Stegostoma tigrinum: one gene and its partner. The protein of the gene in region 2 purifies or fractionates together with the protein of the main gene of each other region. This does not show direct contact. Links are inferred from orthologs where the notes say so. Each region holds a gene or a part of one and is shown on either strand. Other genes may lie near its edges.

The links. The genes of interacting proteins can lie anywhere in the genome.
Region 1: the proteins of F-box/WD repeat-containing protein 11 (region 2) and rassf3 purify together in Homo sapiens (affinity purification with mass spectrometry; 4 studies listed by BioGRID and IntAct, with this or other methods). This does not show direct contact. The link is inferred for Stegostoma tigrinum from reciprocal best matches to the Homo sapiens genes FBXW11 and RASSF3.

Annotation. Positions count from the first base shown.
Region 1 is NC_081371.1:51,843,047-51,850,061, forward strand, and holds the start of rassf3 (ras association domain-containing protein 3), read right to left. Parts: upstream 3,010-7,015; 5' UTR 2,546-3,009; coding exon 2,423-2,545; intron 1-2,422.
Region 2 is NC_081366.1:65,882,540-65,890,163, reverse strand, and holds the start of F-box/WD repeat-containing protein 11, read right to left. Parts: upstream 3,017-7,624; 5' UTR 2,947-3,016; coding exon 2,890-2,946; intron 2,689-2,889; exon of another isoform or gene 2,684-2,688; coding exon of another isoform or gene 2,669-2,683; intron 1-2,668.

The DNA.
Region 1 (7,015 bases), on a different chromosome or scaffold from region 2:
TTAGAAAAGATCGGATTTCCTTAAGCAACATTCCTACCTCAACCAAATGAAAACTAATTGATCATTCTCTTTCTGCACTATGCACAAACCACACACCCCCCAACCCCAGTCCCACCCCTGGTACTTGGCCCAATGTGAAGGTCATTACTGGACCTCTCTGAGATAACACATGGTGCAATATCCATTCTGCCTTTGTTTTCTGATGCAGGATGTCCTTTGTCTTGCGTCACTGAAGGAGCAGCACTCTTTAACCTGTATACAGTTTGCTGCAAGAATACCTGAATAATACTTTCCCCAAAGGATTGCAAACTCTAGACAAGCAGCAAAGTCTCAAGTCACATGAGGGACAATGTAACCTGCAGTTTAGCTGGAATCATGTCACATCACTAATCTGAAAGTGCAATATCCTTAATGCTCTTTACCATCAGCCTTGACCAAAGCAGTGATTCAATGAATGAATCAATATATATTTGCTTCTAATGTGTATGATAAAGTTCATTAAAATGTGCGACACACACTACATGGCAAAATACTTGGTCAACACTCATGCAGAAGTGTGACATCTAGCCTCTTAAATTGAGGCCAATGAGAATTGTTTTATTACAAAGGGAAATATTGTGGATGCTGGTAAACTGAAGTAGAATTCAGTTTATTAGCAATTTCATTTTCATTTCATTTTGGGAGATGATACAAGATGAGGACCCTCTTTCACTTAGCTCCTAATTTTGCTGAAGGTGTGCATTCAACAGACAATGGAAGCCTCTGGGCAACCAAATTCTCAAAAGGACCAGGCCACGTTTTTCAGAGATAGTAAGAACTGACAATGCTAGAGTCAGAGATAACACAGCGTGGAGCTGGAGGAACACAGCAGGCCAGGCAACATCAGAGGAGCAGGAAAGTTGATGTTTTGGGTCAGGGCCCTTCTTCAGAGATCTGGCTCAGTCTTGCTTCCACCCCAGGGTTAGCGGCGTCCAGCTGAAAATGGAGGTAAAGATGGTGCTTTGATTTCGCGTTCTGAGGACGGATCATCAGACCAGAAACATTATCTTTGATTATTCTCTTCACAGATGCTGCCAGACCTCCTCGGCCTTTCCAGCAACTGCTGTTTTTGTTCCTGATTTGCAGTATCCGCAGTTCTTTCAGTTTTTATTATGTGGAAGTGCCTTGTTCGTTTCAAAATGAGACTTTGAGACTGTTATCTAAATGAATGGCAGAGTAGGTTTGGAGGACTGAAAGCCTGCGATCGCATGTGGGAGGCTCAGCAATGCGTTGGCTGGACTAGGGATGCGTACAGAACGACAATCTAGCATGAGCCAAACTCCTGGAGTGGCACTGTAGCTAGCACTGTTGACTCACAGTTCCATGGGGCCCAGGTTTGATTCTGGCTTTGGGTGACTGTGTGGAGTTTGCACATTCTGCCCGGGTTTCCTGCCACAGTCCAAAGATGCGCAGGTTAGGTGGATTGGCTGTGCTAAACTGCCCGTACCGTCCAGGGATGTGCAGGCTGGGTGGATTAGCCATGGGAAATCTGGGGTAGTGGGGCGGGTCTTTGAGGGATGCACTTCGCAGGGTTGGTGTGGACTTGAGGGGCCAAATGGCCTACGTCCACACCGTACGGTTCTATGATTTCTCTGCAAGGGAACAGCAAAAGAGTTTTAACGTCACAGAAAGTGACCGTTCAGACCGTGCCATTGCAAGAGAACAGAGGCCTCTCTCCCAGCCCGAAACATTAACTCTTCTGTCTCTCCACAAATGCTGCCAGATCTGCTGAGGTTTTCCAGCAACTTCTGTTTCGGATTTCCAGCATCTGCTCCAGCTCTTTCGGCTTTTCGACTTTATTTGAGTCTTAAGTCTTGACGGTCACATCTGACGTTAGTCTTGCACACGAATTAAACCAGAGCTAACCTACCACTCTACAGCTGGATATGAGTACACAGCATGCTGCGTGTAACCTCAAACTAGTGAATCAAATAGTCACCTCTCACAGCACACCTCCATATCCTGACATCCACGATTCTGTGGTTTTATGCGAGCTGTGTCACATTCATTGCAGCAGCAGATCTGTATTGGACAACCCCATCAGTATAACACTTTTACTGCACTTCGTAGGGCAGAATGCCGCAAACACAATCAGCAATTACATCAGATAATAAAATCTTTTTAAGTGTACACCAGCGCATGACCAGATGCCGGGCAATGCACAAAGTCCAGTCACCTGGGAGGAGAACACTTCAAAAGTTATACACACCTAACACAGTCATTGTGCACTGTCACTGTGCCTTAGCTTTTGCAATGGTTTTAAGGCAAATGGGTAGCTCACCACCCCCGCTTTTACCAACTGGTACACCTCAACTCCAAACCTCCACTCTTTCTGCCAACATTGCCTTCCAGCATATAGTTACCGAAGAAACACTGCACTTACCTCATCAGGTTTGGGTTTAACTTGAGGCTTCTTGAAGAAGGAAGTTCTTGCAGTGAAGAAATACTCTTCAGAGTCCTCTTCCAAACTGCTGTAACCGCTGCTCATAGTGCTAGTCCACGTCATCTGCAACAGGCTCCTTCCACCAGCTCTCCCTGTGTCTCTCTCTCTCACACACACAGATACAAAGCCGGAACAGAAGTGTACAATGTTCAGCGCTAAACCCAAGGCTAACTGACACAGTCCCTCATGCAGTTTCCCCTCTCTGCACTAAGAAATAGCTGGGACTCAGAGCCGTGCCTTGCTGTCAGCTCTCCTCAATTCGAGCGGAATTGGCTCCTGGCCGATTGACATTGTACATGAAGTCCCTCCTCTCTCACTTCTTTATTTCTCCCCAGACTTTTCGGCTCTGGATTCTCCAAGCGGAAAAAAAAAGTCCCACTGTGAGAAAGGGAGAGAGAAACTGCCCGAGTAGCAGCGACTTAACTATTCTCTTGTACGCTGGGGCTGATTGCTGGTATACAATAAATAATTTGTTGGCAAATCAGATGTTGCAAATCGACAGCTCACACCCACAACTGTAAGGGATGAAGTCATTACTGACCAACCCCTCCGTCAAGTTTCAGCGATTAGACTGCAGTTCGATTTCCTGTAGATCTAGCACCGGCTAAAAGTCGCCCAAAACCCGGAATAAATCAGTTGACAATAAGGTGTGAAAAGGACCTGTAATGTTTGTGTCCTTTGTAAGGCAAAAAGAGAAAGGGGTGGGGATTTTGTTCCACTGACTGAATCACAGTGGCACAAATGATATTTAATCTCGGCAGAGAGAGAAACAACTAGTCACAATGTTTCAATCTCTCCACTAGGTGTATTTTAATTTTGTTTTGGGATCATGTCAGGGTCGTTATCTCCCCTGGCTTTGTTTTCCCAGCTAACCGGCTGCAAAGTTTGCAAATCAGTCTAGACTGGTGCTACAGACAAGCAAACAAGCCCGCTACAGTTATCCAGCCTCACATTTTATTATCCCGCTACAGTTCTGTTGGAGCTCAGACTTCGTGTCACCTTCCAGATCTGGAGTAGTGTAGTGTTAGTGGCGGGGGCTTTATAAATCTCCTGATGTTCTCTCTGCAAAGTCCCCTGGTCCTCGCTCAGATTAAGCACACCCACACACACACAGTGATTGGAAGGGTCTAGGCCCGAAACGTCAGCTTTCCTGATCCTAAGATGCTGCTTGGCCTGCTGTGTTCATCCAGCTCTACACCTTGTTATCACACATAGTGTGATTGGCTTGTTTCCATGGATGTGGTGGGGGCAAGGGGGAATGTTCGGGATGGGAGAGTTCACTAGGACATGGTCTGTTAAGAATATAACATACTACAGTGCTGCAGACACCTTCCCCCATGCTTCAGAACCCCCAGCCCACAGAACGACCTGCCTTCGCTGCGCCCCCCTCACCCCCTTCATCGCAGTGATAGTCTATCTCTAGTGTTAACCCCATTCTATCACCCATCTGGATCATTCCTGCTTATGGTCTTTTCCAAATACCCCTCCCCTGCCAGTTCTACCCCCGAAACTGAAACTTGCCCCCTTCCCCCCTCCCCAGCTCTCACCCCACACACCCTCCTGCCACCGCAAGCCTCTTCTCCCCGCCCTAGGTAACACCTTTTCCTGGAAGCTCAGCTACGCCTCATCCCGAGCCTCCACAGATCCCTTCCCCCCCACCCAACCTTGTTCCCCACTCTCACACACACCCAGATCTCCATTCTATTCCCTGAATCCCCGCCATTATCATTCCTAAAACCCCTAGCCCTCACCAGAACCCTCCTCCCCACACACATCCAGTTGCCATCTCCGGAATAACTCATTCCCTCCCCAGGCACCTCCACCCTGTCTCTTTCCAGAACACCTGCCCTCACCATCATTCCTCCCTGACTGCCCCTCCCTCAGCATCAGGCCTACCACACACCATTCCACACCAGACCTGACCTCCTAATGCCTCTCTGTAAACTTCACAATTACTACCATTAGACCCTTGACCCCATCCAATCTTTCAAACTACAATCCTACCTATTTCAAACCTTTCCTTACAGATCAGCACTACTATACACTCACAAATCTACATGGGTTCTCAGTTAAGCCATGGCAGGATTTACAAACTCTCTGGGACTAGCCATTTGCATGTACTCAATGTTAACTTCTCCATCTTTGGCAGCAGTGTTTCTGTTGCCAAGGCCCTACGCTCTGAATTCTTTTTCCCCTAACCAGAAGGAGCATTCACACCATATCACCAAAGATAACAAGGTGTAGAGCTGGATGAACACCGCAGGCCAAGGAGCATCTCAGGAGCAGGAAAGCTGACGTTTCGGGCCCGGGCCCTTTTCTGATGAAGGGTCTAGGCATGAAACGTCAGCTTTCCTGCTGCTAAGATGCTGCTAGGCTGGCTGTGTTCATCCAACTCTACACCTTGTTATCTCGGATTCTCCAGCATCTGTAGTTCCTATTATCCCCGATACATCACTGTAGCCGTTTATAACAAGATAATATCTATCCATCGCACCTTGACTTTCAAAGGCATTACCTCCACTCAGCCCTACACTATCAGTATTATGAGTTACAATTGACTGGAAACTGAACTAGACTAGCCATATATCTACTTTGGCTATAAACGCAGGATTAAGGCTAGGGATACTGCAGCAAGTAACTCACCTCCTGGCTCCCCAAAGCTTGTCCACTATCTACAAGACACAAGTCAGTAGTGTGATGGAATACTCTCCACTTGCCTGGATGGATGCAGTTCCAACAACACCCAGGAAACTTGAAACCACCCAGGGAAAAGCAGCACACTTGATTGGCACAATATCCACAAATATTCGCTCCCATCCACCACCACCACTCAGCAGCAGCAGTATGTAATACCTACAAGTTGCACTGCAAAATTTCACCAAAAATCCTTTTGACAGCATCTTCCAAACCCATGACCACTTCCACCCAGAAGGACAAGGACAGCAGATACCACCTCTGCAAGAGACAAAGAAACGGCAGGTGCTGGAATCCAAGGTAGACAAACTGGAGGCTGGAAGAACACAGAAGGCCAGGCAGCATCTGGAGGAAAGGAGCAGTCAATGTTTCGGGTATTACCCTTCTTCAGGGCTGGATGTGGGGATAGGGGGAGCTGCAGATAAAGAGGGGGGGTGGGGTGGAGGCAGAATGTTGGTAGTGGGTATGACCTGGGGTTGGTCGATGGGAGGGATGAATCCAGTTGATGGCTGTTGGGGAGGGTCAGTAGGTGGAACGGAAGGGAGCAACGGAAGGGGCTGGAAAGGGAGCCAGGGGATGGGTGGGAAGGTTATTTGAAATTGACATTTGGGACTCAGTGCTGAGTACCCCAGGCTGTAGGGTGCTCAGGCAGAAGATAAGATGTTGTTCTTCAAATTTGCCTCCCATGAGTGAGTTTAAAACAAAACCCTTCACCTTCCTCTCAGTCTCTCCCTTTTTAGGGCTGAGATGAAGAGAATTGTTTACACCCAGAGAGTTGTGAACCCATGGAATTCTCTGCCATGGAAACCAGTTGAGGCCAAAACAGTAAGTGCTTTCAAGAAGGAGTTAGATACAATTCCTAAGGATCAGAGGGTATGGAGGAGAACGGGGACTGAGTTGGATAATCAGCCATGATCATACTGAATGGCAGTGCATGGTCAAAGGGTCGAATGGTCTACTCCTATTCTCATTATTTCCATGACCATCTCTTATAATGATCCCTTTGGGCAAGTGCTTGGTCACCTGTCCTAATGTATCCTTGTATTTGGTAACCCTGCCGTAAATGCTGGGGCCATTTTCTTTGGCCAAAATGCTACACAAGTACAAGTTGCTTTTGTTGTGCAATGTGTTCTTGCGGTGCACGCTGTTATTATGTTCATTTCCTATATTGTCAGATGTGACTCAGTCACACTTCAGGACTCAGGCAAAACCACCAACACTAAAACGCTTTCTGAAAAAGGACCTAGACCTGAAACATCAGCTTTCCTGCTCCTCTGCTGCTTGGCCTGCTGTGTTCATCCAGCTGTACAGCTTGTTATCTAAGACTGAAACTCCCTCAGCAGCATTGGGGAACTGTGGTGCCATCAGAGATGCTGTCATCGGATCAGGCATTAAACCACAGTCCTCATCTCTCAGGGTAAATGTGGAAAATCCCATGGCACCATACTGAAGAGGAAATGAAGGCCGGTTCTAAACATCACAGAAACTGAGTACAGTATCTGGGTCATTTGCCACAATACTGTTTATGGAATCGTGCTGTGTACAAATTGGAGCTGCTGGGTTAGAACAGTTTCTACCCCATTGGGATGGCCAGGGTCATGAAACTTATAAAAATACAACTTTTCTTTTGTAATTATAATTCCTTTTTTGTAAAACAATTGTGGACATCTCGAGGCTATGGCAGGTGCTATACAAATGCAAGTCTTTTTTCCTTGCTGTTTTATTTAGGCCACATGTGGAGTATTGTATGCATTTCTGGTTCCCGTACTTTAGAAACTATGTCGAGGTTTTGGAGAAAGTGCAAACGAGGCTTTACCAGCGTATTACCTGGATTAAAGC
Region 2 (7,624 bases):
TAAACCTTGACCAAGTGAAGTTTCTGGAATAGCAACATCCTCAAAAACCTATACCAAACGCCTTCTAAAACTAAACATAAAACATAGTAAGTGACAAATGCAACGCAGGGGGTACACATAATTTTTATCCTTTATTTATAGCATTAATACTCAAACATCACAATACAGTGCAATTGGAGGTATATATATTTTTGCCAGTTTATCACGAGTGCTAGTTATGACAAAGTTTGCAGTGTTGCAAAAGAACCCTGAAGAACGTCTGCACGTACCACTGCGGACTTCACACTGCTGCAACTCCTAGCAGAGAGAACAACCAATAATTTTCCCCCCAAAATCCAAAGACATACAGGTTAAGAGGATTGGTCATACTAAAAATTGCCCTGTAGTGTCCAGCGATGTGCAGGTTAGGTGGGTTAGCCATGATAAAAATGTGGCATTATGGAGAGGGGAGAAGCTCGGTGTGATGCTCAGGGAAGTTCAACTCATGATCTCTGTCAAAAGGAGAAGTTAGATTTTTTTTCTCTGTTTACATAGGTGCAATTACATCAGATACTTCTTAGACCTGATGTAATTCAAATGTATTCGCTGTGATCATGTAGAACTACAATCAATTGCATGCAAAATCCCACAAACAGCAATAAAGCCTGGACACCTGAAGAACTTCCCTCATTCATAAAAAGCCTGGGGACCTTGTGCATCCATATTAAAGGACTGATGGGACCAAGGTTTAATATTGCACTCAAGACGACACCTTCAACAGTTATGCACTGCAGTATCAAAATAGGCTACATGTTCAAACCTCTAGAGAAATTTCCATACATTGCCTTCTGACTTAAGTCGGAAAGACTGTGTGGATTTACAAACTGTTTGTGAAGCAACTGTAGAGAGGAAAGCACAAGGACAGGTACAGCTGGTTGTTTTCAGCATGTATATGTAAATTATTGCTGGGTTTTCAAATGTTGTTGTTGTGAGACAACATGTAATAAGAAAAGATGTCAAAGAGGCACTCAGCACTGACACTTCTCACAATAACAATCCAGTCATGCGTCTTTTATAAGCTTATATGGTTTCAACCAGCAATTTGGTCATGTTTCAATTGTTCCTTTTATTATATGTCTCCTTCTGTAGTGGTGCATCTCAAGCACCATGAGCTGCATTGTTCTTTATTAAATTGCTGACACTTGTCAATCACAACCAGCAATTAAACTACTCAACAGCTTGATGCTCTCAGTTTAATTTACTGATGCCCGCACAAGAGGGTATAGTTCCACAGATATCTACCTCAAGATACTTGGTTGTTAAATTCAATCCCATCCCACCTAGGTATCCACAGCTACTGTCAGAAACCACAGCGGGGAGAAACCCCTTTAAATTCCTCCCCACTTCTTGCAGAGGGACAAGAGAGTTAATTACATTGTTCAATGCATCAGTCTAACTCCAACAAGCAACTACACTGCAATCCAATCTGTATAGCTAAGCATCAAACCCTACTTATTCACAGAAAGACACAGGTCAGGCAAGTCCCTTTCCAAGGAAACACTGCCAGTGTGTCTGCATATGAACAACTTCTCACTTTTCTTCACAAGCCCACCCAAAACCACCTTGAAAAAGAGAGCTCAGATCCTTGCTACACTGGACGAAGTCAGCAGTGGCTGACACTTTAAACAAAAGTACCAATTCCAGCATTATACAAGGGGCAAAATAAGAGGCATTTTTTGAAGTTGAGTCGTCACTTCTAAAATACAATGCCAGTCAGTGAAGTGTCTTGCTGACCCATTGCATGTCTTCAAGGAGGACCGGATCACTCCCTAACTGGCCCAAAAATCACATCATGGGTGGCAAATGTAACATGCTGCCCCACAGATGTCCACGACTGGCTTCAATTACTCAAGGAATTGAGTCTTTTCCCTCTTGAGGGAAGTGTTAGGTTTTGATTATCCAGCCATACTGAGATATGAGGCAGGTTCGATAGAAATATTGCTGTTTCTCTGACCATTCCTGAGGAATAATCCCAAAGACAATGCACCTTATAAAAATTGATGAATTTGGTTCAATACAAGACATTAGCACTGAAAATGGAAGACACACTCAAAAGTAAACAGTTTGCTCCCTTCACACCCTAGCAAGTTATCCCAAAACTGCTCTATTGCAAAATTTACCAAAACTGACTCTCTCAGCCAGTTTGCTAACCCATATAAATGTGAAGTTGTGGTTACACAAAACTTCCAACGAAACTGAACGCACAGAACATCCTAACCACCGCCCAATAGTGAAACTGAAGCGCACAGCAATTCCTGTACTACCCACGCAATTCTGTCATGGTGCTCACCTCCATCCTGCAAGTCAACCCTCTACCAAACTACCTCGCTCTCCTTCTATACTCCAAGCCCAACTGTCCCTTCCTACACTCCTTGCATCCGCCCATTCTTGTTGCCCAGAACCATTAATTTATTTCAAACCCTAGTGCCTCCCCTCAGCTTCCAGATCATCCTGCTCCCTACGCTGGGGTTGACTCATTCACAAACACTTCTTTTTACCTTCCATCTCCTGCCTGCATGTTTCTCTAAGCCTCCTGTCCATCCCATTTTCTAAACCCGACCCCCTTGACGTGCTCCTGCCCATCTTCAATCCGATTTTTTCTCCTGGCCGCCACCAAACTCTGTTCTACCTCCCTCCGGTACATTCATCCTCCTCGCCCGCAGATTCTGGGACGTTTTCCCCCCTCCTGCAGTTCGTGCTGGGAGCCGCAGGGAGAGGCGATGATCTGATGGAAACGCATTCGGCTCTCCGGCAGGACGTGCGGCCTGTGCCGGAGCCCTTGGCAGGACCACAGCCCCCCTCCTCCACCCAGCCCCGAGATCTCAAGCCCGCTCCCCGAGATTCACTCACCATCAGCTCAATACTTTTATCTTCGATCACTGAATCCGCCTCCATCGTGAACCACATACAAGGAGAATGCAGAGCTCTGGCTTCACCCCCCCGCCCCCCCCGCACTCGGCCCGGTCCAAACCCAAAGCCTGACGACAAGCGTCTGACGAAATCACGCCGCGCCCCTTGGTTTGTAACGTCATCCGTATCTGACGTCACGCGTTCCACGCGACCCCCTTCAATCGTCAGGAAACGCCACTGCAGGCCCCGCCCACTGACTCGGAACAAATTACTACAGAGGCTGGAGCTTGTGTTGAGAATGACAAAGTTCTGCAGGTCACAGCGGGTCAGGCAGCAGCTATGGAGGGAGATGCAGGCTGAAGCTTCCAGTCTAGACGATTCGTCATTAAAGCTGAAGTGAAGGGTGGCAGCATTTGTGCAACAGTGGGGAGAGGGCTGTGGGTGTGGAAAAGATGTTGATAGCCCAGATTAAGTGATTGGAATTCACGAATGGCTGAACAATGGTGTGTCTAACCGCCAGACTTGAAAGGCAAAACTGTCCCACAGGGGTGGCCAGAGGCGAGAGAGGTCATGTTGACAAAGAATGTAACAAGTAAAGCTAAACAAAACGGAAGAAATTGGAGTTGGTTCACAATTTGAAGGTGTTGGACTCAATACCAAGCCCAGAAGGCTGTAAATTGCCTAGTTTGAAGATGAGATGTTGTTCCTCTGGTTTGCATTGATTCACTGGAGCACTACAGCATGCTGAGGACAGAAAAGTATGCATGCAAACAGGACATGGGAAGGTGGTGATCATGTTTGCTTACAGACTGGAAATATTCTGCGAAGTGGTCACGCAGAATGCATTTGGTTTCTCCAATGTAAAGTGGGTGTTAATACACAATGCAATACACAAGATTGTAGCAGGTACTGTTGAAACGCTGCTTCACCTGGAAAAACTGTTTAGGATCTTGGATGGTGAGCAGGTAGTATGCGAAGGGGCAAGTGTGGCACCTTGTGCAGTTACACGGGAAGGTGCCTTTTGAAGGGTGTGTGGTGTTGGTGGTAGGAATGGACTAAGGTCTTCGCCAGTCTCTCCACTGCAGACTGGGACTGATTTGTCGAACACCTCCAGTCTGTACACAGTGCCTGCATGCTCGCTTGTCTACCCTCAGGACACTACAGTGTTCCGATGAATCGCAGCACAAACTGGAGGAACGACATCTCATCCTCAGACGAGGCACATTACAGGCTTCCGGACTTAATATTGAGTTCAAAGCCTTAAAATTGTGAGCCAGTTTCCGTTTTTTCCCTTGTAGCTTTACTTTTTACAATCGCCCATTTTTTCCATTTTGTTTATCTTGTCACATTCTGTCACCATGTTCTCTCTCCTCTTCCCCCACCCAAGTGGGACTGGCTTCTCTTTCAACTCGGGCAGTGAGACACACTATTGTTCTGCCTTTCTCACATTTCGATCATTCTCGACTAGCACTCTACACCCACCATCCCCACACCCTCCACCCTTCGCTACAGCTCTGATGAAGAGTCATCTGGACTGGAAACATTAGCTTGGATGCCGCCTGGACCAGTTGTGATCCCGAGTCTTTGGTTGTTTCCGCCCACTGACTGATCACTTCTCCATCAGGACCCGCCCCCTCACTGTTGACGTCCATTGCAGTACCACGCCCCCATATGTGGCCGCGCCCACAAATGCCCCGCCTTACATAATGGGCGGGGTTTCAGTAACACCGTCCACGGAAGGATGATTTCCCCATTAGCTCAACCCTCTCCCTTGCCGTGTCCAACAAAAGGTCACGAACTTTCATTACGTCACGCCCCCACTGTCGAAACCGAAACCTTCAGTCAACCTCCGCCCATACAATCAACCACGCCTATTCCGAGGGGCGGGGCAGCGGGGGGGGGCGGGAAGGTGAGGACTTTCGATGGGATACGAGATTGGGAATGAGAAAGATGAGGCTGGGATGGTGAGGGAATGGGACAGGGTGTAACCGGAGCTCAGAAAGGGACCGGTTGGGGAGGGAGGGTGAGGAGTGGGAATGTGGGAGAGACGGGGTTGGGTTGGCAAGGAGTTAGGGAGGTGTGCGGAGTGACGGGGTTGGGTTGACAAGGGGTAAGGGAGGTGTGCGGAGTGGAAAGGATGGGTAGGGCATAGGAAAGGGAAAAAGGATGGGAAAGGAAAAGGGATGAGAAGGGGAAGAGATGAGGTGCGGGTGTGGAATGGGGATAGGATGGGATAGGGAAGGGGATGGGGAGGGGATTGGCATAGGGGTGGGGATGGTGAGGGGAAGGGAATTGGCATAGGGGTGGGAATGGTGAGGGGAAGGGGTAGCGATGGGGATGGGAGGGGTTGGGGATGGGATGGGGAAGGGATGGGGAGGAACTGGGGATGGGGAAGAGATGGGGATGTGGAAGGGATGGAGAAAAGATGGGGATGGGGAAGGAATGCAAAGGGGATGGAGAAGGGATGGGATGGGGAGGGAATGGGGATGGGAAGGATAGGGATGTGGATGATGATGGGAAGGGGTGGGCGAAGGGGTTGGGGTACGGTGGGGTGGGGAAGGGGTGGAGATGGGATGGGGTGGGGATAGGGAGGGTATGGGATGGGATTGGGGAGGGAATGGGGATGGGCAGGGGATGGGGATGGGGAAGAGATGGGGATCTGGAAGGGATGGAGAGAAGATGGGGATTGGGGAGAGGATGGGGAAGGAATGTGGAGGGGAAGGGGATGCAGAAGGGAAAGGATGGGGAGGGGATAGGGGAGGGATGGGGATGGGAAGGATAGAGATGTGGATGATGATGGAAAGGGGATGGGGAAGGGGTGAGCAAAGGGGTTGGGGTGCAGATGGAGAAGGGGTGGAGATGGGGTGGGGATGGGGAGGGTATTGGGATAGAGGTGGGAGTGGGTGTGGGGAGAGGGGTGAGGAGGGGAAGGGGTTGGGATAGGGAGGGGATTGGGATGGGGAAGGGGATGGGGATGAGGAAGAGATGGGGATCTGGAAGGGATGGAGAGAAGATGAGGTTGTGGAAGGGATGGGGAGAGGATGGGGATTGGGAGGGGATGGAATGGAGATGGGGTAGGGATGCAGATAGGGGAGGGGATGGGGTGGTGATGGGGAGTGGATGGGGAACAGGGTAGGGGTGAGGATGGGGATTGGGAGGGGATGGAATGGAGATGGGGTGGGGATGCAGATAGGGGAGGGGATAGGGTGGTGTTGGGGAGGTGATTGGCCGGGGGGGGTGGAATGGGGATGGTGAAGCGATGGGGATTGGAGGGGCTGGGGGTGGGATGGGGAAGGGGATGGGGAGGGACTGGGGATGAGGAAGAGATGGGGATCTGGAAGGGATGGAGAGAAGATGAGGATGTGGAAGGGATGGGGATTGGGAGGGGATGGAATGGAGATGGGGAAGGGATGGATAGGGGATGGGTGTAGGGGAGGGGATGGGATGAGGATGGCAAGTGGATGGGGATTGGGAGGGGATGGAATGGAGATGGGGTGGGGATGGGGTGGCGAATGGGTTAGGGGAGGGGATGGGGGTAGGGCAAGGGATGGGATGGGGAATGGGATACGGGAAGCGATGGGGAGCAGATGGGAAAGGGATGGGCATGGGGAGGAGGATGGGGAAGGGGATATGGATGAGGGGATGGGATAGAGATGGGGAAGGAGATAGGGATGGGTGAGGGGAGGGGTTGGGAATGGTGAGGAGGGAATGGGAGGGATTGGGGATGGCGGGTATTGAGGATGGGGAGGGGATGGGAATGGGGAAAGGATGGAGTGGGGGAAGGGATGAAGGAGGGGATGGGAAGGGAATGGGGAAGGGATGGATAGGGGATAAGAAAGGGGAATGGATGGGTAGGGGATAGGAAAGGAGGAGGGATCGTGCAAGAGGAGGCAATAGGAAAGGGACCGGGATAGTGAGAGGTCAAGAAGGGGGCCAGGAAAGGGAAAGAGATGGTGAGGGGTCAGGAAGTGGATCAGGAAAGGGAAGGGACGGCGAGGGGTCGGGAAGAGGGCAGGGCTGGTGAGGGATCGAGAAGTTGGCTGGGAAAAGGGAAGCATTGTGGAGAGAGCCAGGAAGGAATGGGGAGGGGTTGGGAAGGAGGCCAGGAATGGGGAAGGGATGGGGTGAATTTGAGGAGTTTGGGAATGGGGGCAGATTTGTGTTGGGATGAGAATGGGGCGGTGATGAGGAGAGGGTGGGAGCGGTTGCGAGTGAAGAAGACATGAGTCAAAGTTGTGGGGGAGCTGGAGAGTTTGGGGACAGTGACAGATTGTGATTGGGAAGAGATGGGGAAAGGTTTAAAAGGGTTTGGGAATTGGGGGTGGAGCTAGGTTGGGGAGAGGTTGCCTTTGAGGCTGGAGCATCCCTAATTGGAAAATGAGATGTTGTCTTTGAGTTTGTGCTAAGGCTTGTTAGTGCTCTGCAGCAGGCCCAAGACAGAAATGTTGCCATGGGAACATGGCAATGTGTAAAAGCAGCAGGCAACAGGAAGTTCAGAATCATTTTTGCAGACCAAGTGTCACAGTTCTACGAAGTAATCACCCAGCCTGTGTCTACATCTCCCCAATTTAGACGAGCCCACATTATCAGCAGTGGATACAGTAGACTAGATTGAGTGAAGTGCAGATAAGCTGCTGCTTCATCTAGGAGGCATGTCAGGGATCTTGGAGGGGAAGGAAAGAGGAGGAGGTAAATGGGCAGGTGTGACACATTTTGCGATTGCATGGGAAGATGT